Mytilus edulis: one gene and its partner. The protein of the gene in region 1 interacts with the protein of each later gene in a pairwise test. Links are inferred from orthologs where the notes say so. Each region holds a gene or a part of one and is shown in the gene's direction. Other genes may lie near its edges.

Region 1 (16,623 bases):
GTCAAGAGGGTGACAAGATCATGACATTAGGTGTACAACCCAAGAAACTTATAAGAACACGATCACAGGTGTACAAACCGATATACTTACTAGAATACGACAATATATGTACAACCCAAGAGACTTGCAGGAACATGACCATAGATGTACAACACATGAGACATATTAAAACATGATCACAGGTGTACAACACATGAGACATACAAGAACAATACCACAGATGTACAATACATGAGGCAAGAACATCACCACAGCTGTACAACCTAAGAGACTAGAACATGACTATAGTGGTATAACTTAATAGATTTACAAGAACATGACTATAGATGTACAAGCCAAGCGACAAGAACAAACGTAGGTGTAAAATCCAAGGGTTAGGAAAACATGACATTAGGTGTAAAATCCATGAAACTTAAAAGAACATTACCATACGTGTATAAGCCAAGACACTTACAAGTACATGGCCATAGGCGAACAAACACAAAAGACTTGCAAAAACATGCATGATCATGGCTGTACATTCATAGAGACTTACAAGAACATAACCATACGTGTACAATCCAAGCGACGAGAACATACGCGTAGGTGTACAAGCCAAGAGACTAACAAGAACATGACCATACGTGTACAATCCAAGCGACGAGAACATACACGTAGGTGTACAAGCCAAGAGACTAACAAGAACATGACCATACGTGTACAATCCAAGCGACGAGAACATACACGTAGGTGTACAAGCCAAGAGACTAACAAGAACATGACCATACGTGTACAATCCAAGCGACGAGAACATACACGTAGGTGTACAAGCCAAGAGACTAACAAGAACATGACCATACGTGTACAATTCAAGCGACGAGAACATACACGTAGGTGTACAAGCAAAGAGACTTACAAGAACATGACCATACGTGTACAATCCAAGTGACGAGAACATACACGTAGGTGTACAAGCCAAGAGACTTACAAGAACATAACCATACGTGTACAATCCAAGCGACGAGAACATACACGTAGGTGTACAAGCCAAGAGACTTACAAGAACATAACCATACGAGTACAATCCAAGCGACGAGAACATACACGTAGGTGTACAAGCCAAGAGACTTACAAGAACATAACCATACGTGTACAATCCAAGCGATGAGAACATACACGTAGGTGTACAAGCCAAGAGACTAACAAGAACATAACCATACGAGTACAATCCAAGCGACGAGAACATACACGTAGGTGTACAAGCCAAGAGACTTACAAGAACATAACCATACGTGTACAATCCAAGCGATGAGAACATACACGTAGGTGTACAAGCCAAGAGACTAACGAGAACATGACCATACGTGTACAATTCAAGCGACGAGAACATACACGTAGGTGTACAAGCCAAGAGACTAACGAGAACATGACCATACGTGTACAATTCAAGCGACGAGAACATACACGTAGGTGTACAAGCCAAGAGACTAACGAGAACATGACCATAGGTTTACACGCAAAGAGGCTAACACAAGAAAATTACCACAGGTGTACAAGCCAATAGACAAGCCTTAGAGCGTTACAAAATGACAGACCGATAACAGATTATGCCTTAAATGAAAAATAGTATTTTCAGACTCTTCAGAATTGCAGATCTGTTTTGCCCAGCATACCTCATGAGGGAATGTTTGTTGTAATAGCACCTACATAGACGTATATGTTGCAGAACAATTTAGAATTCGGTAGGATCCAGAATCCTTCTTGTACAAATTGAAATTCCAATACTTTGCTAGTCTAAATTGTTCACTGGTCAATGTGTTCTTGATATGTTTTCATGTTTGTAATATTTGTATCACCAACAACAAAAACACACATCGTTTGACCAATAGTTATCAAAGGTATCAGGCTTATAGGTTTTTCTAATTAAATACGCCAGACGCGTGTTTCGTCTACATAAGACTCATCAGTGACGCTCAGATCAAAATAGTTATAAAGCCAAACAAGTACAAAGTAGAAGAGCATTGAGTACCAAAAATTCCAAAAAAGTGTGCCAAATACGGCTAAGGTAAAGGCTATGCCTGGGATCAGAAAATCCTTAGTTTTTCGAAAAATTCATACTGATTGATATTCACGTTCACTTCGAAGTGCTGACTACTGGACTGGTGATACCCTCGGGGCGAAACGTCCACCAGCAGTGGCATCGACCCAGTGGTAGTGTAGCATTTGTAAATGGAATTTGGAGAATATTGAACTGTATTTTATGATCTAAAGGCCCAGTTTAAAGTGTAATCAATACTTAAGTGTCCGTCATCTAACTTCTTTTTTTTTACGTTGACATTATTCGTAGTAATATTCCGTGGTTGGTCCTTGGTTAAATGTGATATTCCTTGGCTAGGTCTTGGTTAAATGTAATATTCTATAAAATTGTTGTTTCTCGTTTAAATGTAACTCTTATTTGCATCTTATTACAGTGATTTCACCATGGTGTCAGGGGTCAGTAGTGCTTATCCGTTACCATCTTAATCTCATGAGTAACTCGAAACAAACATTGCAGGACTCAATTTTGTTAAAAAAAAATAATCTTGCGATCAGTTTGAAATGTTTTGACTGAATCGTATTTTATAATATCTTCTTTTAAGAATATAAAGCAAGAGATTCAATGCACACCGACAGTCTATTGTGTTCACATTAATGATCTGCTTACCAGTATAACAGAACAGAGACATATAGGCCTATGCTTTGAATGGTTGTAAAAAAAAAAACATATAACTTAACATGATAGATTCAATAGAGGCGAAGGAAACAACAACTCTTCAGCTCTAAAAGGGCATTGTAAGTGTCGTATAGAAAAGATAAATAATTGTGTGTATCAGTTTGACGTGTCAAATATTCCTTGCATATTTAATGATCAATTATACACTTAACAAACTAAGTAGGTATTTAAAAGTGATTTGACCGAAATGATTGCCAGGAAATATCAACTACAAAGCGGGGGAAATTAGGACACGATCTAATTTGGTTCTAAGAAATTTAAGTTGGTTTACATAAATAAGGCCTTTAGTTTTCTTGTTTTTTATTGTCATTTCGGGGCCTTTTTTATAGCTGACCATGCGATATGGGCTTTGCTCATTGTTGAAGGCCGAACGGGGACCTATAGTTGTTAATTTCGGAGTCATTATGATCTCTTGTGGAGAGTTGCCACATTGGAAATCATACCACAACTAGACTTTAGGGGCCAGCTGAAGGACGCCTCCGGGTGCGGGAATTTCTCGCTACATTGAAGACCTGTTGGTGACCTTCTGCTGTTGTTTTTTTCTATTGTCGGGTTGTTGTCTCTTTGGCACATTCCCCATTTCCATTCTCAATTTTATTTTTTATTTTGTATCGATAACATTATATGTTTTAATCATTCTCCTTTCAACACCATTTTCATTTATAAATTGCAAAGTTTTTTCTTGTTAACTGTGGAACTGTCAACGAGAAAAGCCAATGTAGCTCACTACCTAAATGCAACTGTACCATGTTACCATACGATACAAATTGTACAAATAGATTTCAATTGTTTTTTGTTGTTGTTGTTGGAGTAGAAACTTTTACAACCATTTCGCAATTTGATTTTCCATATCCGAAAGATACCGAATAGATTTCGTGAGTGGTCGATGATTTAGATTTCGTCCAATTTAACACAAACAATATTTTGGGATATTCCATGCAGCCTTACCAGTACTACACAGGCAAAATTTGTTCACATGAATCTCACATGAAATTCAAGTGACAAATTCCACGTAAGATTAACCTCAAACGTGCTTGTACATAAAACTCACGTGAAAATGTTCATGTGAATTTCACGTGAATTGAGATTCACACGATTCTCACGAGAAATTTTTCACATGATTTTCACGTTTACTTTTCATGATTTTATTTTAATTTGAATTTTAGATGTTATTAGAATCATTAACATGACATGAAATTCAAGTGAGATTCACATGAGGTTCATGTGAAAATTCACATAAACTGATTTCATGCAGTGGCGGATCCAGAACTTTTCATAAGGGGGGCCCGCTGACTGACCTAAAAGGGGGGCGCTCCAGTCATGCTTCAGTTATTCCCTATATAATCAACCACATTTTTCTCACGAAAGGGGGGACCGGAATTTAAATTCACGTGAAATTGAAGTGAGTGAAACAAGCCAGAAGTCCGTATCAAGCATAAATTGTGTTTCACGTCGAAATTGTCTCGTTTTGCAACCTTTCTTAATCTATTTTTTTTAAATTGTTACATCTACGTCTCCTTTTGTAATACAGCTCTGTTACTGAACAACTGAAACATACGGCTTGCATATATATTATGTGACACAGTGTATAGATGTAGTCTGATACTATGTGCTATTGTGAAAAGATTAACAGTTATACACCCTAGTGTCATAGATGGTAAAAAGATGAACAGGAAGATACCGTGAGCCATGGTACAAAGATAGTCATATATCGTGTACTATGATAAAAAGATGTATAGGCAGATACCGTGTGCCATGGTACAAAGATAGTCATATATCCTGTACTATGATAAAAAGATGTATAGGCAGTTACCGTGTGCCATGGTACAAAGATAGTCATATATCCTGTACTATGATAAAAAGATGTATAGGAAGATACCGTGTGCCATGGTACAAAGATAGTCATATACCGTGTACTATGATAAAAAGATGTATAGGCAGTTACCGTGTGCCATGGTACAAAGATAGTCATATATCCTGTACTATGATAAAAAGATGTATAGGCAGATACCGTGTGCCATGGTACAAAGATAGTCATATATCCTGTACTATGATAAAAAGATGTATAGGAAGATACCGTGTGCCATGGTACAAAGATAGTCATATACCGTGTACTATGATAAAAAGATGTATAGGCAGTTACCGTGTGCCATGGTACAAAGATAGTCATATACCCGTGTGCCATGGTACAAAGATAGTCATATATCGTGTACTATGATAAAAAGATGTATAGGAAGATACCGTGTGCCATGGTACAAAGATAGTCATATATCGTGTACTATGATAAAAAGATGTATAGGCAGATACCGTGTGCCATGGTACAAAGATAGTCATATATCCTGTACTATAATAAAAAGATGTATAGGCAGTTACCGTGTGCCATGGTACAAAGATAGTCATATATCCTGTACTATGATAAAAAGATGTATAGGCAGATACCGTGTGCCATGGTACAAAGATAGTCATATATCCTGTACTATGATAAAAAGATGTATAGGAAGATACCGTGTGCCATGGTACAAAGATAGTCATATATCCTGTACTATGATAAAAAGATGTATAGGCAGTTACCGTGTGCCATGGTACAAAGATAGTCATATATCGTGTACTATGATAAAAAGATGTATAGGAAGATACCGTGTGCCATGGTACAAAGATAGTCATATATCCTGTACTATGATAAAAAGATGTATAGGAAGATACCGTGTGCCATGGTACAAAGATAGTCATATACCGTGTACTATGATAAAAAGATGTATAGGCAGTTACCGTGTGCCATGGTACAAAGATAGTCATATATCCTGTACTATGATAAAAAGATGTATAGGCAGTTACCGTGTGCCATGGTACAAAGATAGTCATATATCCTGTACTATGATAAAAAGATGTATAGGCAGTTACCGTGTGCCATGGTACAAAGATAGTCATATATCCTGTACTATGATAAAAAGATGTATAGGCAGTTACCGTGTGCCATGGTACAAAGATAGTCATATATCCTGTACTATGATAAAAAGATGTATAGGAAGATACCGTGTGCCATGGTACAAAGATAGTCATATACCGTGTACTATGATAAAAAGATGTATAGGCAGTTACCGTGTGCCATGGTACAAAGATAGTCATATATCCTGTACTATGATAAAAAGATGTATAGGCAGTTACCGTGTGCCATGGTACAAAGATAGTCATATATCCTGTACTATGATAAAAAGATGTATAGGCAGTTACCGTGTGCCATGGTACAAAGATAGTCATATATCCTGTACTATGATAAAAAGATGTATAGGCAGTTACCGTGTGCCATGGTACAAAGATAGTCATATATCGTGTACTATGATAAAAAGATGTATAGGAAGATACCGTGTGCCATGGTACAAAGATAGTCATATACCGTGTACTATGATAAAAAGATGTATAGGCAGATACCGTGTGCCATGGTACAAAGATAGTCATATACCGTGTACTATGATAAAAAGATGTATAGGCAGTTACCGTGTGCCATGGTACAAAGATAGTCATATACCGTGTACTATGATAAAAAGATGTATAGGCAGATACCGTGTGCCATGGTACAAAGATAGTCATATATCCTGTACTATGATAAAAAGATGTAAAGGCAGATACCGTGTGCCATGGTACAAAGATAGTCATATATCGTGTACTATGATAAAAAGATGTATAGGCAGATACCGTGTGCCATGGTACAAAGATAGTCATATATCCTGTACTATGATAAAAAGATGTAAAGGCAGATACCGTGTGCCATGGTACAAAGATAGTCATATATCGTGTACTATGATAAAAAGATGTATAGGCAGATACCGTGTGCCATGGTACAAAGATAGTCATATACCGTGTACTATGATAAAAAGATGTAAAGGCAGATACCGTGTGCCATGGTACAAAGATAGTCATATATCGTGTACTATGATAAAAAGATGTATAGGCAGATACCATGTGCCATGGTACAAAGATAGTCATATACCGTGTACTATGATAAAAAGATGTAAAGGCAGATACCGTCACGTTGTCATGATGAAAAGATGAGCAGCCAATTACTCTTGCGCCATGGTACAAAGATGAACAGTCATATACCGTATGTTATGGTGAAAGGTGTACAGGCAGATATCGTGTATCATGGTGAAAAGATGAACAGTCAATTACTCTAGTGGCTGTGCCATGGTAAAAAGATGAACAGTCATATACCGTGTACTATGGTAAAAAGATGTACAGGCAGATAACGTGTGTCATGGTTAAAAGATGAACAGTAATATACATTTGTACCATGTGCTATGGTGAAAAGATGTATGGGCAGATACCGTGTGCCATGATGAAAAGATGAACAGTCAATTACTCTAGTGCCATGGTAAAAAGATGAACAGTAATATACCGTGTACTATGGTAAAAAGATGTACAGGCAGATAACGTGTGTCATGGTTAAAAGATGAACAGTAATATACCATGTGTTATGGTGAAAAGATGTATGGGCAGATACCGTGTGCCATGATGAAAAGATGAACTGCCAATTACTGTAGTGCCATGGTACAAGGATGAAAAGTCATATGGGCAGATACCGTGTGCCATGGTGAAAATATAAATAGATATATAACGTGTGCTATAGTGAAAAGAAGTTCAGTCAGATACCGTGTGTCACGGTGAAAAGATGAACAGCCAATTACTCTAGTGCCTAGGTAAAAAGGTGAACAGTAATATACCATGTGTTATAGTAAAAAGTTCAGTCAAACGCCCGTGTGCCGTGGTGAAAAGATTACAGTCATATCGTGACTCTAGTGCCATGGTAAAAAGATAAACAGTCATTTACCGCGTGCTATGGTAAAAAGATGAACAGTCAGTTAAAGCAAAGCATCAGTCAACATGCAATTAAACGGTAAATAAAAAATCTTACACCAAGAGACTCAAGTAGAAAGTTTAGGAAAAAGATGAAATTTTAAAATTTTAACTAAATCTTGTTGTTTTTACAATCTATTTTAGTAAAATGAGCAATTATGTTGGTAAATTCCTTTTTAGTTCTTTATATATCACAACGTGACCCCAGAGATGTGGAAATGTCCTCTTAATCTAGCTTATAAACAATGTTATTAGAATTTTATTGTCTTTTCCCCCTCACGGTAAATTGATAAATTTGCTGGACAATGTATATATATAAAGTAAATAATGGTTTTGATGAGGAGCAGACACCAAGCAGAGGGTTGTACTCTAGCATGGACCGTGGACTTGACAGCTGTCACTAACTGTCCTCATCGTACTTTATACAGATAACCAAGCATCAATACGTCATTCACAGCAATTATATCTCATTAATGGTATTTAAGATGATATTGTCAGCACTTAATATATCAGGCACCAAATTCAAGTTCTATCATGTGAAGTTTGGATCAGTAATGTATACGCCGATAACTCCGATAAAAGTAGAAAAAAGACTAGGAGAGGGAGGATCCGCAGGGTCAGTCAGTCAAACTACAGGCACTTGTCTCAGAAAAAATGTCCCTTATACCTTAACACTAAGATATATATAAAAATAGTTACAAATATTAGTGACTGTGGTTGAAACAGGGTGTAAGTGTCAAATATTGTAAAAATACTGTCGATAATTTTAACTAGTTTTAATAAGAAAAGAAATAGAATTTTTCGATAATTTTTTTATGTATTTGTCACTTCAGACCGTGAATTACAATTTACATTACATTTTGTCTCTGAAAAAAATAAAGGTCACTTTATTTCAAATATAAATATGTCATTTTAAGTTATAAAACCAGATAAGTTGTAACTAAAAGTATCATAATTTCTGGCATAATTTAATTTGAATACAATTTACATAATACCACTTAATGAAACAGTTGTTTTAGTTAAATACCGGACGCAAGACTTACTAATTCCCCCTACCATTACCCCGCTTATCTTTGGCGACAGTAATCCTTTTAATGGCCTCTTTGTCGCTACCGGAAGTTGTCAGTTTCAGACTCATTTGCATACAATATTTTGCTTTCTGTTTAAATGAATGGGGATGAAAATGACAGAAAATATATCATGATCTCGATATCTAGCAATGGCTAGTAACGGATCTAGGCGTCATGGAACATCTACTATGAAAATTCGTTTAACAGGTACACCTTATTACACAAATAACTCGCCTATAAGATCGAAACCAAACGGTATTTGTCGATGACCCATTGTACTCCAAAGAAAAATGGCTGCCTTGAGGAATCCAGTAGCAATTAATATCATCATTACAGCGGTATCGTTGAGTGTACCAACTATTTTAAGAAAGAATTAAGGCCTATATATATGTAAATTCTGATATATTATAATTTGACGGCGTCAATTGTTGAGACCACTCTTAAAATGATGTACATTACCATCATCAATGAAAAACTTTATAAATGACAACAAGTAAGGCCAGGACTGAAAACCACTTTTACTTTCTCTTTAAACACAAAGGATGATTGTGAAAAGCGTTTTTCTGAAGATGTCTCATTGGCATTGCTTTTGTTGGATACCTCTTTTTGACATTGTGATTACCCATATGCATAAGATTTTATTAAATCTCTTGAAGGTAATTATTGTCATTCACATGAGTCATGTTGTTGGGTAGTTTGTTGAGACATCGTCTTACTAACCAAATGTATTGTTGAGAATCACCTTGAAAATCCTGATCCTGAAATCAACAATAGACATGATAGAATAATCAGACAGCATGCTCCATATTTGAATACTTATTCTAATAGGTTTTTCAATTTTTTGTCTTGCCGGCTATGAAAGCACTTAAATTATGGGAAACATTAGTATTGCTTTACTGGCATAGTGTTCCTATGATATATCATTTGGCCATACAAGTTTTGAAAAAAATGAGTCCAGACATATTTTTTTGTGACAAGGTAACATGGAATCGCATAGTTAGCCTTTTTACAAATGTATACGAGTAAAGAGTTTATTAGTTATGCATTCAAAAACATTCATATCCTCATGTAATTCTTGTGTACATGTTTATCATATATATTATTTGCAAATTGTTGAAGAACTTCCTAAGGATGCAGATTTATAAATGCAGAGTACCGTACGTACATGTACACCTCAAAAGTTTGTATTTATATATATGTATTAAGTTCAAATTGATAGTCCATTTTAATCGGAGAATTAAGTCATGATTATCTTCATTAACATGGAGATGTTAAAAGGGTTATTTATTAAGTTATTTTTTTAAATGAAAATTATGATAGATGAAACAAAAATTATTTTCAATAATCTTGATTTTGTGATTAGTATATACATTTAATAATTGATTTATAATTTATATTATCAAAATATCTTTGACCAAATTTTAACATTTTCAATAGATAATTTATTATCATGATTATATATAATGTATGAAAAAGATGTGGTATAATTGCTAACAATACAGCTACAATTTACATTTTGTATAATATATGTACTATGTAGGGTCAATCCCAAACATTTCTGGGAATATTTGATTTCCTGGATCTGATGCATAAAATTCTACATAAACTTTAATTATCAATTCCTGAAATAATAACTTTCAAATTAAAATTTATATGAATTATAAGTATTTACTCCTGAAATAGATATATCTTTTAATTGGTTTTACTGCTGTAAAAACAATAGATAGTATTCATTACACAAAACATAAGTCTGTATTCACTATTGTACATGTATGGTAATTTTACTTCCAGTATATTGCCACTTCGGACTTCCAATCTTTATTCCAATAGACATGTTCAACCAAACATGTCATATATACATATTTCTTGAATTCATGGACTTTTAACTTTATGCATCTCTGTATTAAGAATTAACTAGGTTATGATTTGTTAAAAGAAAGACAAATGAAAGAGGAAGATACACATTTGACAGGAAATATTTCAAATTTGGACATGAGAGGAAATACTATTATGAGGATAATCTGGATTTTTCATGGGAATGTACCTTAATCATTTAAAAAAAATATGATTCTTTATATTATAAAATGTAGCATTGTCTTATTAATTTTGTTTTGTCTTTGCAAATGGGTTAGAAGATACTTGAAGTGCTGTACATGTACATGTGTCACAGTCTGGGCAGGGTCTGTGCTATCAATAATGGTTAAAGTTTATAATTATTTTTTAGCAAGAGCTCTGTTACATTTTATGTTAATGGCATTTTCGATATAATATCACACAAATTAACAAAGGCAGTTGCTATTTGTCCGGCCAATACAATGCGCATGTTAATATTGTGTGTGCTTGTAATATTACCTTCAGCCGCACCAGGGGGTCACAAATTATATATATAAACATTTAATAAGCAATGGTTTGCCATCTTAAATTGTCGTGCCAAATCTTGTTAGTTTCATATGAAGTTGAATGTGGACAACGTGTAATTAGAAAAAAAAAATCATATGTATCATAATTTGTATATTCATTTCTTTATCTATGCCTTCACATTGTAAGAAGAGGGAAGAAATAACTTGTAAAACAAACTTGGGTCCTGATAGGCATATTAAGTTAACAAAAGGATTTGGTCTAGTTGAAAAAGGTACAAAATTAGTATGTCTGAAGCTGTCAAACAGAATGATTGACCCCCTTTCTTTGTGATTTCAATTACTTTTTAGTCCGTTTTATAAAATTGGATCATTCTTTGAAGTTCATACTATCGAATGTATCTGCTTGTCAAATTCTAAAAACTGGAAAATTTATCACAATTTTTTATATCGCCGTTTTCAACCATTATCTCACAATTGAAAATCAGTGTTCGGAGTACACGCAACCCCATGGTGCTGCTGAAGATAATATTACATGCACTTATCATAAGTTATGCAAGCACATAAAGTGACATGCGCATTGCAATTACCGTACAAATAGTCCTAGCACTATTTGTCCGGCTAGGTGTACAAACAGCCACTCTGATTAACATATTATTGATCATTTCCAACCATTCACATACATGTATGTGGAAATTGTGGGTGTTTTGGGTTTTGGTATTAAAAATTATACTGCATTGTACCGTGTCATGATGAGTATGGTCAGTGAGTGGAAAAGTCTCTTGTATATTTATATGTACTTGTACACACATCATACAATAATTTTTTTTTTCTATTTTAGTTCTATGTGCCAAGAACTTAGCCAAGAAAGACTTCTTCCGTAAGTATACCAGTCCAAATACTTTCTTTTCGCATTTGGCAGATTCGTTACATACATGCATCAACCATTACATGTACACTGTGTAAAAATGTCAGTAGAATATATGGAAAACAAAAGAGGATAAACACAAAATAAACCTTTGATTTAGCCTTTCTATAGTGCTCATCACTTTGGCATTTACGAAAGGATTTTCAAATGACATAGGTACTTCTGTTCCATTTCAACACTAAATTTTGTGAATGGGAAAAATAAATGTAAGGAAATTTTATATGGCAAAATGTTGTCATACTTATATGGAGAATTCTTTACATAAATAGAAATGCTTCATATTTGGTTTAAGGCAGCATCTTGACAGCATTGAGTTGTAATGTGTATGCTGTCACAATACATGCAATAGTAACTCTTGTTTTTTATACGAACATGTAATGCTATCAGTTGGTAATGAGAATAAGAGTTGCTTATATTCACATGCAAATGAAAGGGCAGACTATTCCCACTCCCAGTATAAAGAATAAGACTACATGCCTATATTTTGATGTACAATGTACCTAACAATAAATTTTGTTTTTGTCTCGCCTTGACGGAACCAAAAAGCGAGGCATAGGTATTCTATTTCCGGCAGGGGGCATCAACAATGTATCAGTTTGTGATACCGTCTAGTTTATGGTGAACCACAAGTTTTGCATAATCGAAAATTACAAAAAGACCAGACATATCTTTGTAAAAACAGTTCATTATTTCATCATTCCATACATTTCTTGAATTCAATATCCAAATATGTTATAATGCTTTCATAGTTAATTACACATGTATGATGTAGGACACAAGAGCATAAGATTTGACAACTTATTTTGATATGACTACATGTAAATAATCATAGGAATTGTTTAAAAACAAAAACTGTTCACATCAACTAATGTATTAATTTTGAATTTCAGGCCTACCTGATCCCTTTGCTAAAATTAGTGTGGATGGTTCCGGCCAGTGTCATTCTACTGATACCAGTAAAAATACCTTGGATCCAAAATGGAACCAACATTATGACCTGTAAGTTTGGGTTTTTTAAAAGATTTTTGCATATTTCCTGCTTTTTGATAGTTTTAGAATTGCATATATACTAATCATATTTTGTTCTTCTTAAATATACATGTTCTAAGTAATATGTAAAAAAACAATGTAAATTATGCAAATATATTGTGCTTCTTATATAAAGTTGTAGGCCATGTTGAAATTACTTTTAATGTCTACCTCATTAGGAGATCATAAATATTCTAAACTTCCTAAAATCTTCTAGACTTCCTAAAATCTTCTTGACTTCTTAAAATATTCTAGACTACCGTAAATCTCACCATCAACATATTCATGTTGATATCAAATTCAGTACATGTATTCCTCTTAATCCTAAAGTGGATCATGTCAGGAACCTGTTGTTCAGTGGTTGTGTTTTTTGGATTTCGTTCAAAAGTGTTTATCGTTTCTATGCCCCTGTTGTAATGAAGGTGGCAAAAGTTTTACCCTTGTCCGTCTGTCTCAAAACAGGTTTCATTTTCTTACTTTAGTTCGCCTCAACCAAATGTTGTGAAACTTATACACTACCCTTACATGTATTATCACAAAAATTTAAAACACAGATCATGTTTGAATTAAGGTAGTGTTACTTTTTATGTTTAATAGTTATGCCCCTTTACAAATGGAAAAAATAGCTTACCATTTGATGAAAGCCAAAGCTCGGTGTTGAAGGCCATGCTTTGACCTATTATTATTTACTATTTACACATACTTTCATTGTGACTGGATGGAGAATTATCTCATTGGCACTTATTTCTACCTACAAAACTAACATGCTGCTTATATAATTAAAAGTTGGTAGTTTAAGCTCCACTCTTTAATAATGAGAATATTATTGTGATCTTGATTTTCATATGTCAGCACAGGGTTGTTATTAGTTTGTGATGAACTTGTTTTCTCAAAATGTATGATGCTCTTTAATTACTATTCTTTTACTGAGTACTACAGCTTAAGAATAATTTAGCCATAATAGAACTACATTTGATGCTTGAAGGATTACAGTGAATATCATTACTAGGGTTCATTTTACAAAATAGGGATGTAACAATTGCATTTATATATAAAAAACATTACTTCAAAAATATAGAAGCAGCATGCAAGTGATAAAAACAACCATACATGTATGTAACCTCACATTACACCATGACAATTGTGTCCTGATGTTCAAATTTAAATTTTTACTAATTTTTTCATTGTAAGTGAAGTACATGTATACATATTTACAACCAGAATTTGTGTAACATCAGACTGATTCTCAGCAATAGCCATATATGTTCAAATGGAATGATTGATTGTCTTGTGGCTTATTTTGGTTTTGTTTACAAAATACAAGTTTTCATTTGAATAAGTAATTATATGAAAATATTGCCATGGATTGATTGATTTGTGTTCAACACCACTGTTTACACTATTGTGCTATTTGGTGTCAGTCAATTTGATTGGTGGAGGAGGCCAGCGTACTTCAAAGAGAACCACTGACTCTGATTAGGAATACTGACAATCCTAGTCATTAGAAATTGGAGTCAATGGCACCTGCTCTATGCTGGAATAAATATCACAATCTCTGTGTTGACAGGCTATTGATACAATAGTTTGACTATGTAAACCACTTGGCCACCAGGCCCCTTGATGGTTGAGGAAGAGGCTATTGATACAATAGTTTGACTATGTAAACCACTTGGCCACCAGGCCCCTTGATGGTTGAGGAAGAGGCTATTGATACAATAGTTTGACTATGTAAACCACTTGGCCACCAGGCCCCTTGATGGTTGAGGAAGAGGCTATTGATACAATAGTTTGACTATGTAAACCACTTGGCCACCAGGCCCCTTGATGGTTGAGGAAGCTACATGTATAGAGAGCAACTGTAGAAAAACTGTCAATCCTAGACAATTAAGATTGTAGTCATGCGCACCTACCATGTGCAGATTTCATTCACAACCTTACTGTTGACATGCAGACAGTAATTTCACTACTTATACTACTCTACCCCCACCAAGACCATGCCATGACTTGATGTTCCAATGTAATATTGACATGATGTTAAAAATTAACACAGAGCACAAGTTTAAAAAGAAAAGCAATTTGTTTACTTGCAACTAGATAGTCACAGAGTTAACTGTATTCATGTAATATTAAGATTTTTTAGGCAAAGGGATATGTTGTATATACATGTAACTTCTCAGCTGGCCGAGTTAAATGTTAGACTATTTTGTGTAATTTGTGTAATTTTCTATACTTAATGTAATTTCATGACTTCAAATGGAAATGTTAGAAATATAAATGGTCTGATTCAAGTTCACAAATTCAACGTTAAGTTCTTCAAATTGGAGACATTTTAAAAAATATTTAATTTTAGGACTTATATAAATAACCAACATCATTACTTCAAATTTACATTTTTCATATTTAGGTTAAGTTTAGGAGGAATATAAGAATAAAATATGAAACTTGGTGTCAATGTATATTTCAAAACTTTCTAAAGAATACACAGGAAATCATCAAATCTATTCAAGTGTAGGAAAATTTATGTTCAAATATCTACATGTAAAGTCAAGGTTAGGAAAACTTGTGTTCTAATATATACATGTAAAGTTAGTGTAACATGATCAAAGGCAGTCAATTTGTTTGAAATTATTGTAACACATTTAAATGAGCTTAAATTCTGTAAATACACAAGTGTTACATTATGAATTAAATGGTTTTAAGTAAAAGGACTGATGTTAAGCATTTTATTTTAATGTTTTCTACATGTATGGAAAATAGTTATGCTATGTGATTAATGAGACATTATAATAACATGAAGTTTATGATGTGTTTCATATTAGGATGATCTGACAGTTGGCTAGTGAGGTTACTTATTTATTATTAAAATTATAATTGTAATATTCATTAAAGAATGTGAAGCTTTTCTTGTGATATTTTCGTTCCAGATATTTATTGATTATTAAATCAAAAGAAAAAAGGAAATTTGCAGTTTAATAATTGATTATTTAAAATTTTTTGAAATATTTTATTTTTTTAATGTTGAGGGAAAAACCATAGGTTAGATGCATTAGTTTATTTAGTACAACATTGTACAATGTAATTATGGTTTCTACTGTTTTCTCTTGCTTTCAGTTAATTAAAAATAAAAAAAAATAAAATAATAAAGTAAATTAGGCTAAGCCAAAAATAAAACGCTTCTGACTACTTAAAAAGAAAAAGGAAGAAGACCTGTTAAAATTGAGAGACACAACAAAGCAGTTTACTTTAACATATCATATTATGTCATAAAACTGATATATATATATATATATATTATGAAAAATCCTTGGTAAAACATAGACGTCAAATTTTTTTAAAGCATATTTTGCAAGATATTGAGAAAATGATACCAAAGTCATAGAAATAGATTGTTTACCAAGTCATTTCTTTGTGATCAAACACAGGGCCACCAAAATAATATAATATTTAAGAAAAAAATATTTAAGTACTACAAAGATTATTTATATATGATTTAACAAATAAATAACAAAACAATTCTGTATCCAGGTAGAGGAATACTTTTGTTTATAAAACAGGGCACTGACCTAACTTAGGAGAAAAATATTTAATCTCAGCAACCGTATATAATTTTTAATTAGATGTACAATGGAAGTAAAA
Region 2 (16,245 bases), on another chromosome or scaffold:
ATCAGATTATAAATGTAGGCAAACTGTAGATCGATGGCTAATTTGTTCTGCCCAAGAATCACCAGCGGGCTCACTTAATTAAAGACATGATTGATGAGTTGATTGATTGCTTTTCAAACCACTTTCAACACTAAATAACTTCTTCTTTCTTCTTTAATTACAGAATATCATCAACTTTTTTAGGAATGCTATTGTCGAATCTGGCACATGAGGTTGCTATGAGTTGATTTATTTTTTTCTTTTATTTATGGTATCCGGTCGTTCCGGCCCCAAACCGATCCGGCCCCAAGTCAATCCGGCCCAAGTCGATCCGTCCCCAAGTCGATCCGGCCCCATAATAATATATGAATTAACTATATTGATTTTGGAGGAATTTGTCACAAATTTTAACAGACTGAGTATAAATGGAATCGGTGTCCGATGATGGATGACAACAGGTCAGTGAAGTATTGGAGTACCAGTTAAAGAACCATTTTTAAATCGATACGAAAATGAGTGTTATAGTGTCTGTTTGCATTTTTATACGCCCGGGACGGGACGTATTATGGTATACCGTTGTCCGTCCGTCTGTCCGTCCGTCCGTCGTCCACACTTCGGACAATAACTCAAAAACACCTACACCAATTTCCATGAAACTTACGTGAATTGTTTATATCTATTGACGTAAGCTCCCTTTCGTTTTTTTTTAATTTCAGATTTTAAGTTTTGGATTTATGGGGCTTTATTCATAAAAAAGGGGGGATTTTCAACACTTCGGACCATTACTCAAAAAGGCTTTCACCAATGTCCATGAAACTTTGGTGAATTGTTTATATCTATTGATGTAAGCTCCCTTTCGTTTTTTTTTAATTTCAGATTTTAAGTTTTGGATTTATGGGGCTTTATTCATAAAAAAGGGGGGATTTTCAACACTTCGGACAATAACTCAAAAAGGCTTTCACCAATGTCCATGAAACTTTGGTGAATTGTTTATATCTATTGATGTAAGCTCCCTTTCGTTTTTTTTTTAATTTCAGATTTTAAGTTTTGGATTTATGGGGCTTTATTCATAAAAAAAGGGGGGATTTTTAACACTTCGGACAATAACTCAAAAAGGCTTTCACCAATGTCCATGAAACTTTGGTGAATTGTTTATATCTATTGATGTAAGCTCCCTTTCAATTTTTATAAATTTCAGATTTTAAGTTTTGGATTTATGGGGCTTTATTCATAAAAAAAAGGGTGATTTTTAACACTTCGGACAATAACTCAAAAAGGCTTTCACCAATGTCCATGAAACTTTGGTGAATTGTTTATATCTATTGATGTAAGCTCCCTATAAATTTCAGATTTTACATTTCCGTGTTATGAATTTTTATGCTTAAAAAAGGGGGGATTTTTCCAATTTTGGGACAATAACTAACACTTTCACAAAATTTTATGTATGGATGAAAAATTAAAGACAACAACTTAGTTAAATTTGAGGTAGCCTTAATAGTGCCAATTTTTTTGTGCATTTTTATTTATTATTTGGGGGGGGGGGGGGTATTTGACAGGGCTCACACTATTTCTAGTTGATCATATAACTTCATTTAAAGCATAAAAGACAAGTTAAAAGAGCAACAGGCGTATCATGCGCTAAAGCGCAGCCCTTTATTAAATTATAAAGTTATTTTCCATGATAACTTTTACTTTGAATTTCATGGCGATTTTTATTTGATTCAGTTCACACACAGAATAGCTAAATAAATATTTACAGTCCAATGGACCACCTATAAAATTTAACGCATCATAATGACTTATTTAATCAAATCATTATTCTATAATTGGTTTGTTTATTCAACTTGTCTGGTGATTGTGAACTAAGGTAATGCCACTCGTAATCACTTAATTCAATCCAATGCTGATTTATTAAAGTTACGTTATCTGTTTTTCAACGTGACAAGGTCTTTATAGTTTGATCTTCTGGTTGGTGTATATAATAATAATTATTTGTATTTTTTTTTCAGGTTACATCATAGGCTTCTATAACATATATAATGTTACAAATATAATATTCTATTCTATTCTAATGTATAACACTTGGGTTTTTTTTGTAACATCAAATATATAGTCAATATATTTTTCTTATTTTGACAATATTTTGAATAGTTGTTCGTAGATTAAAAAAAGTCATATGAGTTATTGCAAGAAAATAACAAAACAATGACACTGAATGCATGTTTTCACTCTCTCAAACTACTAAATAGAATTTAATGGCGACTACCCTTGCGGGTATTGCGCCAGGTTACCTTATATAAAAACATTTCAAGTAAATGTTTTAAATTTTTTATTATTTAGGTGTAACAGCCTATATTATATATTCATATTATAGAAATTTTGTGAGGTTTTTTTTCCCCCCTTAAATTTAATTAATCTTGTTATTTAAATCTGACCTATAGTGTGTATTTTAATTATCTTGATTATCTATTGGTTAATTTATATTACGAAGAAAAATATATGTGAGCTTATTATTCCGTTATTTGTAACTTACCTGTACGAAAAAATCCAGGCGTATTTTAGTCGGATTCCAGGCGGATATTTTAGAGGGAATCCGTTTTAAGTCCACTTTTACACGAAGAATCTTTCTTACATGGATTCCAGGCGGGTTACGGGCGGAATAGAGCCGAAATATGCAAATTTATCCGCCTGTCTTAGGAGGAAAAATTTCCGTCTAATTAAAAGGAAAAATGTTCTTCTCAAAAATATATCTGCCTAAAGAGACGGAAAATATATCCGCCTAAAAAGACGAAAATATATCCACCTAATGAAACGGAAAATATATCCGCCTTCGAAAAAAAATCCGCCTTAGAATATGAAAAAAAATCCGCCTTAAGAATATGAAAAAATTCTGTCTTCAATGAAAGAATTTTTTCATTCCAAAGATTCAGGTTTTTACCACTGCCATGCCTTCTTGCGAAGAAAAACTAGGCCTTCATACAATAAAATGCAAAAAATGTTATCATACTTGATCGAATTTATTTAAGCAACTACAAATTACTATACATGTATGTATAATTTTGACTTTTTTAGTTCTTCACAATTTCTTCATTTTCAGTTAAATTGAATATAAATTATTATCACAAGTTCCTGAATTTATTTCGTGCATAACTGATTTGCTCTGTAACAGCATAATTGATATGACCATCTTGCATGGATCTGTTGTGTTTTGTGCACCAAGCAGTAACATAACCTGAAAAAAAGAGAACATAAATTAAAATTACCATGCATTATTGTTTAACTAAAAGGAATTTGACAAATTTCTCTATGTTATACAGGTAAATTGTGAGCTGCCTAAGTAGGTGGGGTTTTCCTTCATTTTGACATATTGACTTGAATTTACTATTTTTACCATATATCATTCAATATACATTGTACAACAGAAACATCTAAAACTTGAAATTATAAGATTAAACTATGAAAAATAAGATGTTAAGCATGTTTTAAAGAGTAATTATATTTTAAGAAAAAAATCCTTGTAAAATCAAGGGCAGATAATTATAATGAATTTACTATGACCTGTTTTGGGGATTTTCTCAATAAAATAAGACCTGTGGGCTGTAACCCCTGTTTTCAATTTGCTAATTTTAAAGATATATACCATGTTTATATCAAAAAAATATTACAGATGGTTTTACAACTTTTGATTTTTTTCAAAATGTAAGTCCAATATGTGCAAAAGTTACTTAAAAAGCATTCATAAGTATTTCTTTCATATAAAACTACTTACTCCAAGTCTGATTGAATGTGTCCATTCTTCAGTCCTATCAGAAAACAATTTTCTTTTGTTTCACCAGTTCTGAAATATAAAAAAAAATTGTCTCATTACAATTAAACAAAATAATTATTGCATATACTGTGCATGAAGTGTATAGGTTATTCTTTACTTTGATTAGTACATGTAGTATTGGTCTTTTATTTTACTTAAACATCATCGGCCCGCATTTACATGTACAAAATGTTTGTCTTGCCATTTTAAAAATCTTAAATTTGATCCATAATCATGATAATTGAGTACATATGTACTAAATTTAAAAGATAACACTTTTTGATTTTTCGGAATAGATGTCTATTATACATATTTAATTATTACAGTCATACAACAGATCTCCAATTTTGCCAAAACTTAACTACATGTATTAAGGGGGTTCGTGGGTCTAAATCATTTATATAGGATTTCTCTATATTTTTCTATAAATGAACTTTATCTTATAGTTAATAGAAAAATAAAATAAAAAAGTGGGGTCACCGTTCATTTGCGCTCACAATCTGCCTTCGAAAGAAGCATACATTTTTGTAAAGGTGTTTTTTTTCTGTTGAAGTAATAGGAGAAATAAAGGTAAATATCGAAATAAAAAAAGAAATTTATTACAGAAATCGCTCAAATTTTACAATAATTTAGTTGAAGTACAGCTTATATGGAAATTATATTAAAAAAGATAGGTCACCGATGAGTTGAAAAAGATATTCAATTTTAAAGCCAAAAAAATGGCATTTTTCCACCAAAGGGAGATAATTTGAAACTTTTTCAATGATGTATTCATTTTAAAAGTCATCTGGGGCCAACACGAATTGATTGTTTTGAAAGATTTTTGTACCATGTGATAAAGTAACAATTACAAAAGGAAATAAATAAAATTTGTAATGAAAAACAAATGTTTGATTTTTTTCTGAAATTTTTATACCCTCGAGCCTCCTTAAATAATATCATATAAAAGAGATTGTAAGTCTTGTGTCATACACAATACCACAGTAAGTATTACCTCTACTCCATGACTAAATATAACTAAAACACAAATATAAATTTGCCGACAGCCCGTCGAACGTGATAGACGCCGTATTTAATTTGTATCTCAAATAATTTCCAGCAGTACACATTTTAACAAATATTAAAACATATATACAATATTTCAAATATCAATGTATCCACAGTGTATTCGCTTAAATTTCTGAATGTTACCCTTCATAGATAGTCAAGGCCGTCCAGGAAAAACCAACAATCGTTCACATGATATATGAATATGAATGGAAACCTGTATCCGTGCCAATGCTCGAGCCTATCTCCGGATAAAAGTGGCGGACCACACCTTTAATTAGCAAATACATATACAAATAGAAAATCAGAAAAAAAAAAACTTTAATTGCAATCAGCAATTAAAAATAAAGGAGCTTACTATGTTGAACGACGGCTAGAAAGTGAAGCGCTTGAAAAACACCAATATATCGAAAGACAAAATTCAACTTCTGATTGGTCAATTTTGTCATGCCTTATGAATATTTATGAAAACGTAACGACAATACAATATTTTCCCGCTTTACTATACGAACCGCGGGAAAATACAAGTATTACCTCTACTCCATGACTAAATATAACTAAAACACAAATATAAATTTGCCGACAGCCCGTCGAACGTGATAGAAATATACAAAGAAAGGGTACACGATCCCAAATATGAAACTATAAACCTAAAACTTGAGAAATTTTCAAACGTTTTTCTATGGAGTCTACGATATAACCATCTTTACTCGAGTCAGATTTCCATCTGCCGTGTTTTTTCAAACACCTGTCGCTAACGTCTGCGTTAGCAGCCACTGTGGCACCACCTGATCTGAACGAGTGCAGACCTATGTTACAACCAGGACGAATAATTCTAATTCTCTTAAGAAGACACTCCCTAGCCGCCGTGTAACTGAGTTTCTTATCCTTATTTATCAATTTACACAACTCTCCTGACCTGTAGATAGGACGAAATAAAAATTTATTCTCATGACTACTAAAACCAGCCAAACGTGTGTATTTAACTAACATATTATAGGGACATGCGATTGTAGAACCTTTTGCTATTATAACCTCATTGCTTTGCCTGTATTGGTCAGTTTTGCTCTTAGTTATATGTAAAATCAGAAAAGAATCTTGTATATCAATGTCAAGGAAACGCAAAGATCTAAGTTCATCGTATCTAAGGAAACCTGCAAAACAAAGTAGCATCATAGTCAAATCTCTTAACACAAGTAGATCAGAACAATCTTTAAAATTATCACAAAGTTCTATCAAAACGTCTGTAGTTACTGGATCTTTCTTGTTAGTCTTCTTTGGCGCAACTCTTTTAGACGCTTCTAGTATTGAAGTAACAAAAGTGTTTGTGGTAGGATCTTTTAAACTGTTGATTTCGTGTGCCCATTTTATACCATATATTGCATTATACACCGGATGATATTAAGTGGAACCGTTGTTAACTAAGTCTGTAAGGTAAAGTGCGACGTGCACTGGTTGAGCTGGTAAAGCAACATGTCCATGGAGAGATATGAAACGTTCCCATCTTTTAAAAGCATTAAAATAAGATTTGACTGTGTTGTCACTTCTGCTGTTTATTAAAAGTTCGCACATTTTTGGATAAAGCCCATAAAGATAACTGTCACCATCGATGCCGCTATTTCTAATGGCCTCCTTTACTGTACGATCTAATTTTGTCCCTGTTAAAAAAAGAATAATCATAAATATTTTGATCTAAAATTGTAATCTTAAACCAATCAATCTAAATTTCAGAAATTGTTGTCCAAATATTCCGCTTTGACCGCGGCCTTCCTTGGTCAAGTTTTCTCCCTGAAAGAAAATGTGTGCAACTATGAAAACTTTCATGTTCCCTTTCTCATCTATTAACATAGGCCAGTACGGTGCAGAGGTCCACTCTGGTATAACTAAAGTAGCATTGCATTTTTCTTGTTTTAATTTGTTTAACACTTTAGGAATCAAATTTGGTGGTGGTACAAGCCAATTATTTTTACCTTTCCAATCAACCGTGAAAGCGTCAATACCTGATGTTCCTGGACACCAATATTTTGAATTGAAATGCTTACACTTGGTGTTGTAGTCATGTGCAAACCTATCGGCGTTGTGCGGACCCCACAAGTGATCTAGATATGTAAATATTTCGTCCTGTACCTCCCAATCATCACAATCTGACCGTCTACTTAACATGTCAGCGTGTGTGTTTTGTTCACGTGGAATCCAAACAGAACTTAATTTAATTGATTGATTCTTACAAATTTCATGTATTTGCATCACATTTTCATGTAGTGATGCTTTTCGACTTCCGACTCTGAGTATGTGCGTTACGTTTTTGTTATCTGTGTATACCCTAATGATTTTATCCTTTATTAAATTTGTAAAATTGTGTAATACTCTCTTTACTGCTACTAGCTCTCGCCAAGTTGAGCTTTTGTTTTGTTCATTTACTGACCAACTTCCAAACATTTCCAACGGTTCGTCCTTTGAACCTGCGGTCAAATGACCGCCAAAACCCTTGCCAGATGCATCACAGAACAAGTGATAATCTTGATCTTCATTAAATGTCAACTGACACAATTGAGATCCTGTCTCGTTTAAACTACATATATTTTGTAGCCAAAATGTGCACTCTTTAAGTGCTTCTGTACTAACTAGTACTTTAGCATTCCAACTTGCTCTATACAATATAGATTCATATAAATATCTAGTTCTTAATCGTGCCTGATCACCTAATACTGCCTGCATAGATATGATTTGGCATACAATACTGGCCACAAATTTTACTCTGAATAGCCTAATACCACTTCTAAACTGGTAAATGAAAATAACCAAAGTGCCTTTCAATTTTAAGCCTTCTTTGTTTATAAATATTAAATGATTTGGTAGGTAGGTGTGTTTGTTTTTTAAACATGAAAACTGTAAGTATCATATACTTTTGGATAGACATATCTGACTTCTACAAATATGCAAATCGTAGAAGGGGTCTGACATATTCCCGTACATGGTATACACATTAATATTTATTAATGTTATTTACATTTTTTTTAATTTTAATTTTTACATATTTTTTTTTTTTAATTTATAATAATATGAAAACAATAGGAACATTAAGTTTAGGTGAAAGAATGTTTTATTTCGTAAGGTCAGTGTTTATTGGTGGAGGAAGAAGGCCCGACCTTTTGTAGGAAAACTAACGATCCTAGTCATATTAGATTTTGAGTCGAGCGCGCCTTCCACGTGCGCCGGTATTTGAGCTCACAACCTTAACGGATCCAGGGGTGTTCTGGGGGTTGGACCCCCCTTTTTTTTTTACCTATCAATGCATTTGAAAGGGGTCATATAGTTAGACCCCCCCCTTTTGTCCTGGGTTGGGACCCCCCAACCCCTTATTAAAATGTCTGGATCCGCCCCTGCACAATCTCAATGTTAACTGGCTAGTGATACTGTAGTCAGACATCTTAGTCCACAGAGGTCTCCTCCAGGACAACAAAAAGAAATAACCGAAAATGATAAGCGACAAGAAAGTTTATAACTTTTGCTTGTTTACTTTTGTTTGTCTGTTAGGGAGCTACCATTTGATTTTTATGGGGGAGGGGGGGGCTAGGATGAAATTTGAAAAAAATAGGCAGGACAGGAGTTTTGAGTAAAAAAAAAAAAGGCAGGATGAGACACTTTGCCAAAAAAAAAGGCAGGATGACAATTTAGGTAAAAAGAGTCAGGATAAACTAATAAAAAAAAAGGCAGGACCGAATAGAGTGAAAAATAAAAAGGCAGGACAGAGATTACAACTAAAAAAAATGCAGGACAAAATTTTTCATCCTAGCCCCCACATAAAAATCAAATGGTAGCTCCCTTACTGTTTTTTTTCTTTCTTTTTTAACCTACGGGGTTGTCAGTTTATTTTTGAATTGTGAGTTTTAATGTTCCTATGGTATCTATCTTTCACCTCTTTTTTATATTCTATAAAATGATTTTAGGTTCCCAATATGTGAACTTTCCATTTCAGCTTCCCAATTGTGAACTTTCCATTTCTATGTAGCAACATCCTGGATTTTCAGCATGCAGCTTCTCCATACAATGTAAATATCTCCAAGATGCTACGATATTCCTGGGTTGTATTTCCTATCATGATTCTCTTGATAGAGTGTAGCTGCTGCTACTAACAAGGAAGCTAATAAATCAAGGGTTTCTCCTTTATCACTAATGACACCATACTCGCTCTTCTCAATTGATGTTGATCTTCCGGCGTTTTTGATTCCTTATTATGTTTACTAGAAATATCAAATGTAGTCTCTTCAAGACATTCTAAAAATGAATACGTTCTTTCTAACACCAATATGTTGCATGGACTAAGTCTACTTGAAAAAATTGAATAATTACTAGTGTCTATGCTAAATATAAATATTTGTTTAGCTCAGCATGCACGGGCTAAGTTGTGTATGTCCACGTATATTGGTCTTTATTTATGTTTTGTATTTGTATTAGTTGTAAATAACAGCTGTAAACTTATTTGATTTGATGAGATGTGATTTAATTTGTTCTTTGAGGTATTTAATTTTAAATATTTTTATATAAATCTTTAGTTGTATTTCAAATGGTTCCCACGGTTAACAATCTGAACAGGATCTTGTTTTCTTCTTAGGGAGCTACCATTTGATTTTTATGGGGGGGCTAGGATGAAATTTGAAAAAAATAGGCAGGACTGGAGTTTTGAGTAAAAAAAAAAGGCAGGATGAGACACTTGCAAAAAAAAAAAGTCAGGATGACAATTTATGTAAAAAAAGTCAGGATAAACTAAAAAAAAAAAGAAGAAGGACCGAAAAGAGTGAAAAATAAAAAGGCAGGACAGAGATTACAACTAAAAAAAAATGCAGGACAAAATTTTTCATCCTAGCCCCCCCATAAAAATCAAATGGTAGCTCCCTTATGTTTTATGCACCATGCAGAATCCTGTTCTTTTGGTTATCTAGCCCAAAATTGGGAAAAGGGGTTTTCCAACTTTTGTTGACATCACATTAGAGGTCTCCTGACTTTTACACATTTTATTTACATTCACGTCATATCACAAGACAGTAGTTTGATAGTGAGACATTCTTCAGTGTGTCAAGAACATTGTTATCTTGTAAGTCAAATACCATCTTCAGTCTATAAATGATTAAAATAATGTTTGTTGAAAAGGTTTACCTGCCAAGAGTTTCATATAAATTCAGGTTCATGTGGCTAATTTAATGACCGTATTTTCACCTCAAAATTTACTCCAAGTACAGACAAACCTGCACATCTGTAAAAAATTTCAGACATAGCATGCCCTAGATAATGAATTTCAAATATGTTTACTTTTATGTGTAAGAAAAATGAAAACTTACCAGGATTTTGCAGTACACTTTTTTTCATTCCTCCAGAAGGTGCCAAAATAAACTAAGTTGGGAAACAGGTTTGAGAACTTCCCCACAGGTAATAATTGAAGTGAGCGTTTTTAATTGACAACCCCCCAATGGCAAATGAGGGATATACCTTAACGAGAAACTGTCCCTCAGACCAGAGATATGAATTTATACATATATATTATATGTCTCTACTCAGACCAGCGGTCATTTTACTGTTGTATTTCAAAGAAGAATGAACAGACTTTTTTTTATCTTAAAAGGGGAGAAATACATTATATTTGGAACAATACTTCTTTTGAGTTCTAAAAGAGGGGTCCAACTATTTTTATTATAAAGAAGATATAAGCCTATGAGGCCACACCAATTTGATCCCTTGTTCGACGGACCCGCCCGCACCTATTTTTTTTCAAAACAGATTTTTTTTATATTCCTGCTTCCCGCATCCGGAATTGTAATCATGTCCATTTCCCGCACCGTTTTTTTTTTTGTAAATATTATAAAAAGATATCAACATTTGTTAAATCACAGTCTAACCTGTATATAACGATTTTAAACATAAAAGCACCCCACCACACTGTGTAAATATCTGTGAGAATATTTGTTTCAGCATGAAACCTGGAATGCTCCGATAAAAAGTTATAACAGCGGGTATTTCCGTGAAGAACAAAAATTTTTTTCTTTCCCCCTTACTTATATTCCCCATCAAAAAATGTTCGTTGTTAGAATAAAGTACAAAGAACTTCTGTAGGATTTGCCTTCAACTGCAATTATATTGTATGCTGGCGAAACAAAACTATCCATAGCCGCTGCATGTTTATGAACCTGTCCTGATTGATTCAGGAGCATGTCGTTCAGCAGTTATCGTTTGTTGATGTTGTTCATTGGTATTTTCCCGTTTGGATATATAAATTAGATCGTTGGTTTTCCTGTTCCAATTGTGTACGCTAATAATTTTAGGGTCCTTTATAGCTTGCTGTTTGGTCTGTATCAAGCCCTGTGTAAAAGGCCGTACTTTGACCTGTGTTTGTTATTATCAGGTTGAGAACAACCCTCCCTCAGACAAGGGGTCATTTTACTGATGTAGAAAAGAAAATAGAAATACCAAGGATTTGTATAGTTCTTCTATGCAAAACCTTTGAACACTTAGAATTTTGTACTCAAAAAGAGGAGAGTTACATCATATTTTTAAAAAAAAATTCTAAAAGAGGGGTCCACTTATTTTGAATAATATTAAACTGTTAAAGTAAATGTGTTAACATGGTTAAAGTCCAGGAATATTGCTAAATTCTTGGACATGTTTTGACGATTTAATACCAGATAGATATATAGTTCTATGAGAAAATATGAGCCCTTTTGTACAAACAAATATATTATAACTTATATTGATCCCTCATAAAACATGTGAAAGGGATATTTATAACATTAAGGTGTTGCCCCCAAACTGATTATGATTTGGATGGAGAATTGTCTCATTGTCCGTCACACATACATAGACCAGATTTAATTATTTCTTGGTGAACAGGGAAAAAATACTTCAGAAATCAAAGTACAAGTGATAAATCAAGTTTTAATATTGTCAAAACCTATTATTTTATATTTACAAAAAAAAAATTATAATCGCTCGCCTTTACTTTTCAAGCTTCGCCTTAAAAATTTGCAAATTGAATATTTTTTTATTAAAATTTTCAAATCGCTCGCTCGCACCAAATTTTGGAGTCCAAAAATCCGTAGAACAAGAAATTAAATTGGTGTGGCCTGAATATTACAAAATTCTTGGACATGTTTAAATTCAGTTTTGACCATATAATACTAGATAGTCTAGATGTATGGTTCAGTGGGAAAAGTTTCTTCAAATAATATAAATATGTGCTCACTTTTACTAATAAGTCAAAGATACATTTTATCACTTGATATGTACCCTTCATAAACATGATAAAAGGGAATAATTTGTGCTATATAGCATCATAGTTTTCCAACCACTTGCTCAACATTGGAACGGAAGTGACGATACCCCTTAAAACCCATGAATGATGTTCACTAAAACCCCAGTTTTTGACAGAAATGCATCAAACTCGAAAGTTGTCTAATTTTTATTAGCTCACCTGGCCAAAAGGGCCAAGTGAGCTTTTCCCATCACTTGGCGTCCGTCGTCGTTAAATTTTACAAAAATCTTCTCCTCTGAAACTACTGGGTCAAATTAAACTAAACTTGGCCACAATCATCATTGGTGTATCTAGTTTAAAAAATATGTGGCGTGACCTGGCCAACCAACCAAGATGGCCATTATGACCCAGCCATCTAACCAAAATGGCCACCATGGCTAAAAATAGAACATAGGGCTAAAATGCAGTTTTTGGCTTATAACTCAAAAACCGAAGCATTTAGAGCAAATCTGACAAGGGGTAAAAGTGTTTATCAGGTCAAGATCTATCTGCCCTGAAATTTTCAGATGAATCGGACAACTCTTTGTTGGGTTGCTGCCCCTGAATTGGTAATTTTAAGGAAATTTTGCTGTTTTTGGTTATTATCTTGAAAAATATTATTATAGATAGAGATAAACTGTAAACAGGAATAATGTTCAGCAAAGTAAGATTTACAAATAAGTCAACATGACCGAAATGGTCAATCGACCCCCTAAGGAGTTATTGTCCTTAATAGTAAATTTTTAACAATTTTCATAAAATTTGTAAATTTTTACTAACATTTTCCACTGAAACTACTAGGCCAAGTTCATTTAAGATAGAGATAATTGTAAGCAGCAAGAATGTTCAGTAAAGTAAGATGTACAAACACATCACCATCGCCAAAACACGTTTTGCTCATGAATCCATATGCTTCCTTTGTTAAATATTCACATAGATCAAGGTGAGCGACACAGGCTCTTTAAAGCCTCTATTGTATAAAATGTTAATTTTAACTTTAGTTTGATTTGATTTAGATAAAGTAAGATAAAAATAAGGATTGTTAATTTTTGTTTTAGTATTTAACTTTTTGATGTTTATATTATGTTTTAAGAATATTCATTTATTCCACTTTTCTTCAGTACCTATTCAGTTAAAGTTATCGTGAGACATGAAAAGATTAGGAATTTAATTGATATTCAGTCAGAGTCTGACTTGCATCAGCCTCCAACATGTCCAAACCTCACCCTGGTGAAATTCATCCCACTCAAGAACAGATTTAGCCATCACTTCAGGTGCAGTCATGGAAGTGCGCCACAGTTAGTCACTGATTTTTTGGTGCAAGTTAATTATTTTACTTCTTTAAAAACAAAGTGCATTTAATACTTTATTTAAGACTAACTCTGGAAATACATGTACTTTTTTTATACGACCGCAAATTTTGAAAAAATTTTCGTCGTATATTGCTATCACGTTGGCGTCGGCGTCGTCGTCGTCGTCGTCGTCCGGCGTCCGAATACTTTTAGTTTTCGCACTCTAACTTTAGTAAAAGTGAATGGAAATCTATGAAATTTTAACACAAGGTTTATGACCACAAAAGGAAGGTTGGTATTGATTTTGGGAGTTTTGGTCCCAACATTTTAGGAATTAGGGGCCAAAAAGGGCCCAAATAAGCATTTTCTTGGTTTTCGCACTATAACTTTAGTTTAAGTTAATAGAAATCTATGAAATTTTGACACAAGGTTTATGACCACAAAAGAACGGTTGGGATTGATTTTGGGAGTTTTGGTCTCAACAGTTTAGGAATTAGGGGCCAAAAAAGGGCCCAAATAAGCATTATTCTTGGTTTTCGCACAATAACATTAGTTTAAGTAAATAGAAATCAATGAAATTTAAACACAATGTTAATGACTACAAAAGGAAGGTTGGTATTGATTTTGGGAGTTTAGGTCCCAACAGTTTAGGAATTAGGGGCCAAAAAGGGACCCAAATAAGCATTTTTCTTGGTTTGCGCACCATAACGTTAGTATAAGTAAATAGAAATCTATGAAATTTAAACACAAGGTTTATGACCATAAAAGGAAGGTTGGGTTTGATTTTGGGAGTTTTGGTCCCAACAGAATAAGGGGCCCAAAGGGTCCAAAATTAAACTTTGTTTGATTTCATCAAAATTGAATAATTGGGGTTCTTTGATATGCCGAATCTAACTGTCATGACTGTGTATGTAGATTCTTAACTTTTGGTCTGTTTTCAAATTGGTCTACATTAAGGTCCAAAGGGTCCAAAATTAAACTTAGTTTGATTTTGACAAAAAATCAATCAGTTAGGTTCTTTGATATGCTGAATCTAAAAATGTACTTAGATTCTTGATTATTGGCCCAGTTTTCAAGTTGGTCCAAATCGGGGTCCAAAATTAAACTTTGTTTGATTTCATCAAAAATTGAATAAATGGGGTTCTTTGATATACCAAATCTAACTGTGTATGTAGATTCTTCATTTTTGGTACTGTTTTCAAATTGGTCTACACTAAAGTCCAAAGGGTCCAAAATTAAACTTAGTCTGATTTTAACAAAAATTGAAATCTTGGGGTTCTTTGATATGCTGAATCCAAAAATGTACTTAGATTTTTTATTATGGGCCCAGTTTTCAAGTTGGTCCAAATCAGGATCTAAAATTATTATATTAAGTATTGTGCAATAGCAAGTCTTTTCAATTGCACAGTATTGCGCAATGGCAAGAAATATCCAATTGCACAATATTGTGAAATAGCAATTTTTTTTTTAATTAGAGTTATCTTTCTTTGTCCAGAATAGTAAGCAAGAAATATCTAATTGCAAAATATTGTGCAATAGCAAGATTTTTTTTTAATTGGAGTTATCTTTCTTTGTCCAGAATCAACTTAAATCTTTGTTATATACAATATACAATGTATATTCACTTTTTACTACCAACTGATAAATTAAAATAATCTTTACCATTCAGTGATAACAAGCAGTTTTTTTACATCTTATTTCCTTATCTTATCTAAAATGTTTTTAGATAATGTATGTTGGACATTTGCCAGACATGACTATGATGTCATTTTCTATTTTTATTTGCCCATTACTTTATGTAAATAACTTCATTGGAAATTTGCCAATATAAAATGTTGCTGATGAAGTTTTTTTTATTGTTTTATACAATAAACAATGTATATTCACTTTTACTACCAACCAATCTTTACCATTCAGTGATAACAAGCACTTTATTTTACATTTTAATATTTTATGATGTATTTAAAAGAGTAGTTATTGCTGCAAACTCCATTAGAAATTTGAATTGATAATATCAGTTTTGGAAAAAAGGAAACGGGGATGTGAAAAAAAGGGGGGGGGGGGTTAAATTTTTCTCATTTCAGATTTCATAAATAAAAAGAAAATTTCTTCAAACATTTTTTTGAGAGGATTAATATTCAACAGCATAGTGAATTGCTAAAAGGCAAAAACAAACTTTTAAGTTCATTAGACCACATTCATTCTGTGTCAGAAACCTATGCTGTGCCAACTATTTAATTTTAGATTTAAAAAGTTTGAAGAAGAAATCTTTTATTGTAAAATTTGTAAAATCTTGACATTTGTTTTGTGTAAAAAAAACCCATGTAATGTCAAAAATTTGATCACAATCCAAATTCAGAGCTGTATCACGCTAGAATGTTTTGTCCATACTTGCCCCAACTGTTCAGGGTTCGACCTCTGCGGTCGTATAAAGCTGCGCCCTGCGGAGCACCTGGTTTCATTTTACATTTAAATTACTTTAGTTTTTAACTTCATCATATTCATTTTAGAAAGTTTATACTCTTGTTTCATCCAACCTTGTAAAATACATCATTTTGTACATGCAATTATTGTACATTTGTAAATACATGTAATATATAGTTTTCATTTGATTTATTGTCTGTCATTGTCTGTTGCCATAATCGGATATCAGGTATCCAGATGGTCAAATAGTGATACTCCACGTCCCTGGAGGTGTCGTCACTGACCCCCTCCCGCTACACAATAAAGGGGAAGTAATTCAAATTGTTTGTAAAACAACTTTGAAATACATAGTCTCATAGATCATATATATATGACCTAAAGCTAGTAAAGGTAATTGGTGTTATTTAACACTA

What was found.
Region 2: the proteins of E3 ubiquitin-protein ligase SMURF2-like (region 1) and spartin-like interact in a two-hybrid assay, tested with the Homo sapiens proteins (2 studies listed by BioGRID and IntAct). The link is inferred for Mytilus edulis from reciprocal best matches to the Homo sapiens genes SMURF2 and SPART.

What each region holds. Positions count from the first base shown.
Region 1 is NC_092352.1:15,163,733-15,180,355, forward strand, and holds the start of E3 ubiquitin-protein ligase SMURF2-like, read left to right. Parts: upstream 1-8,697; 5' UTR 8,698-8,822; coding exon 8,823-8,880; intron 8,881-11,871; coding exon 11,872-11,910; intron 11,911-12,848; coding exon 12,849-12,957; intron 12,958-16,623. UniProt on the Homo sapiens protein: E3 ubiquitin-protein ligase which accepts ubiquitin from an E2 ubiquitin-conjugating enzyme in the form of a thioester and then directly transfers the ubiquitin to targeted substrates.
Region 2 is NC_092351.1:1,234,647-1,250,891, reverse strand, and holds the start of spartin-like, read left to right. Parts: upstream 1-9,786; 5' UTR 9,787-9,929; intron 9,930-16,245. UniProt on the Homo sapiens protein: Lipophagy receptor that plays an important role in lipid droplet (LD) turnover in motor neurons.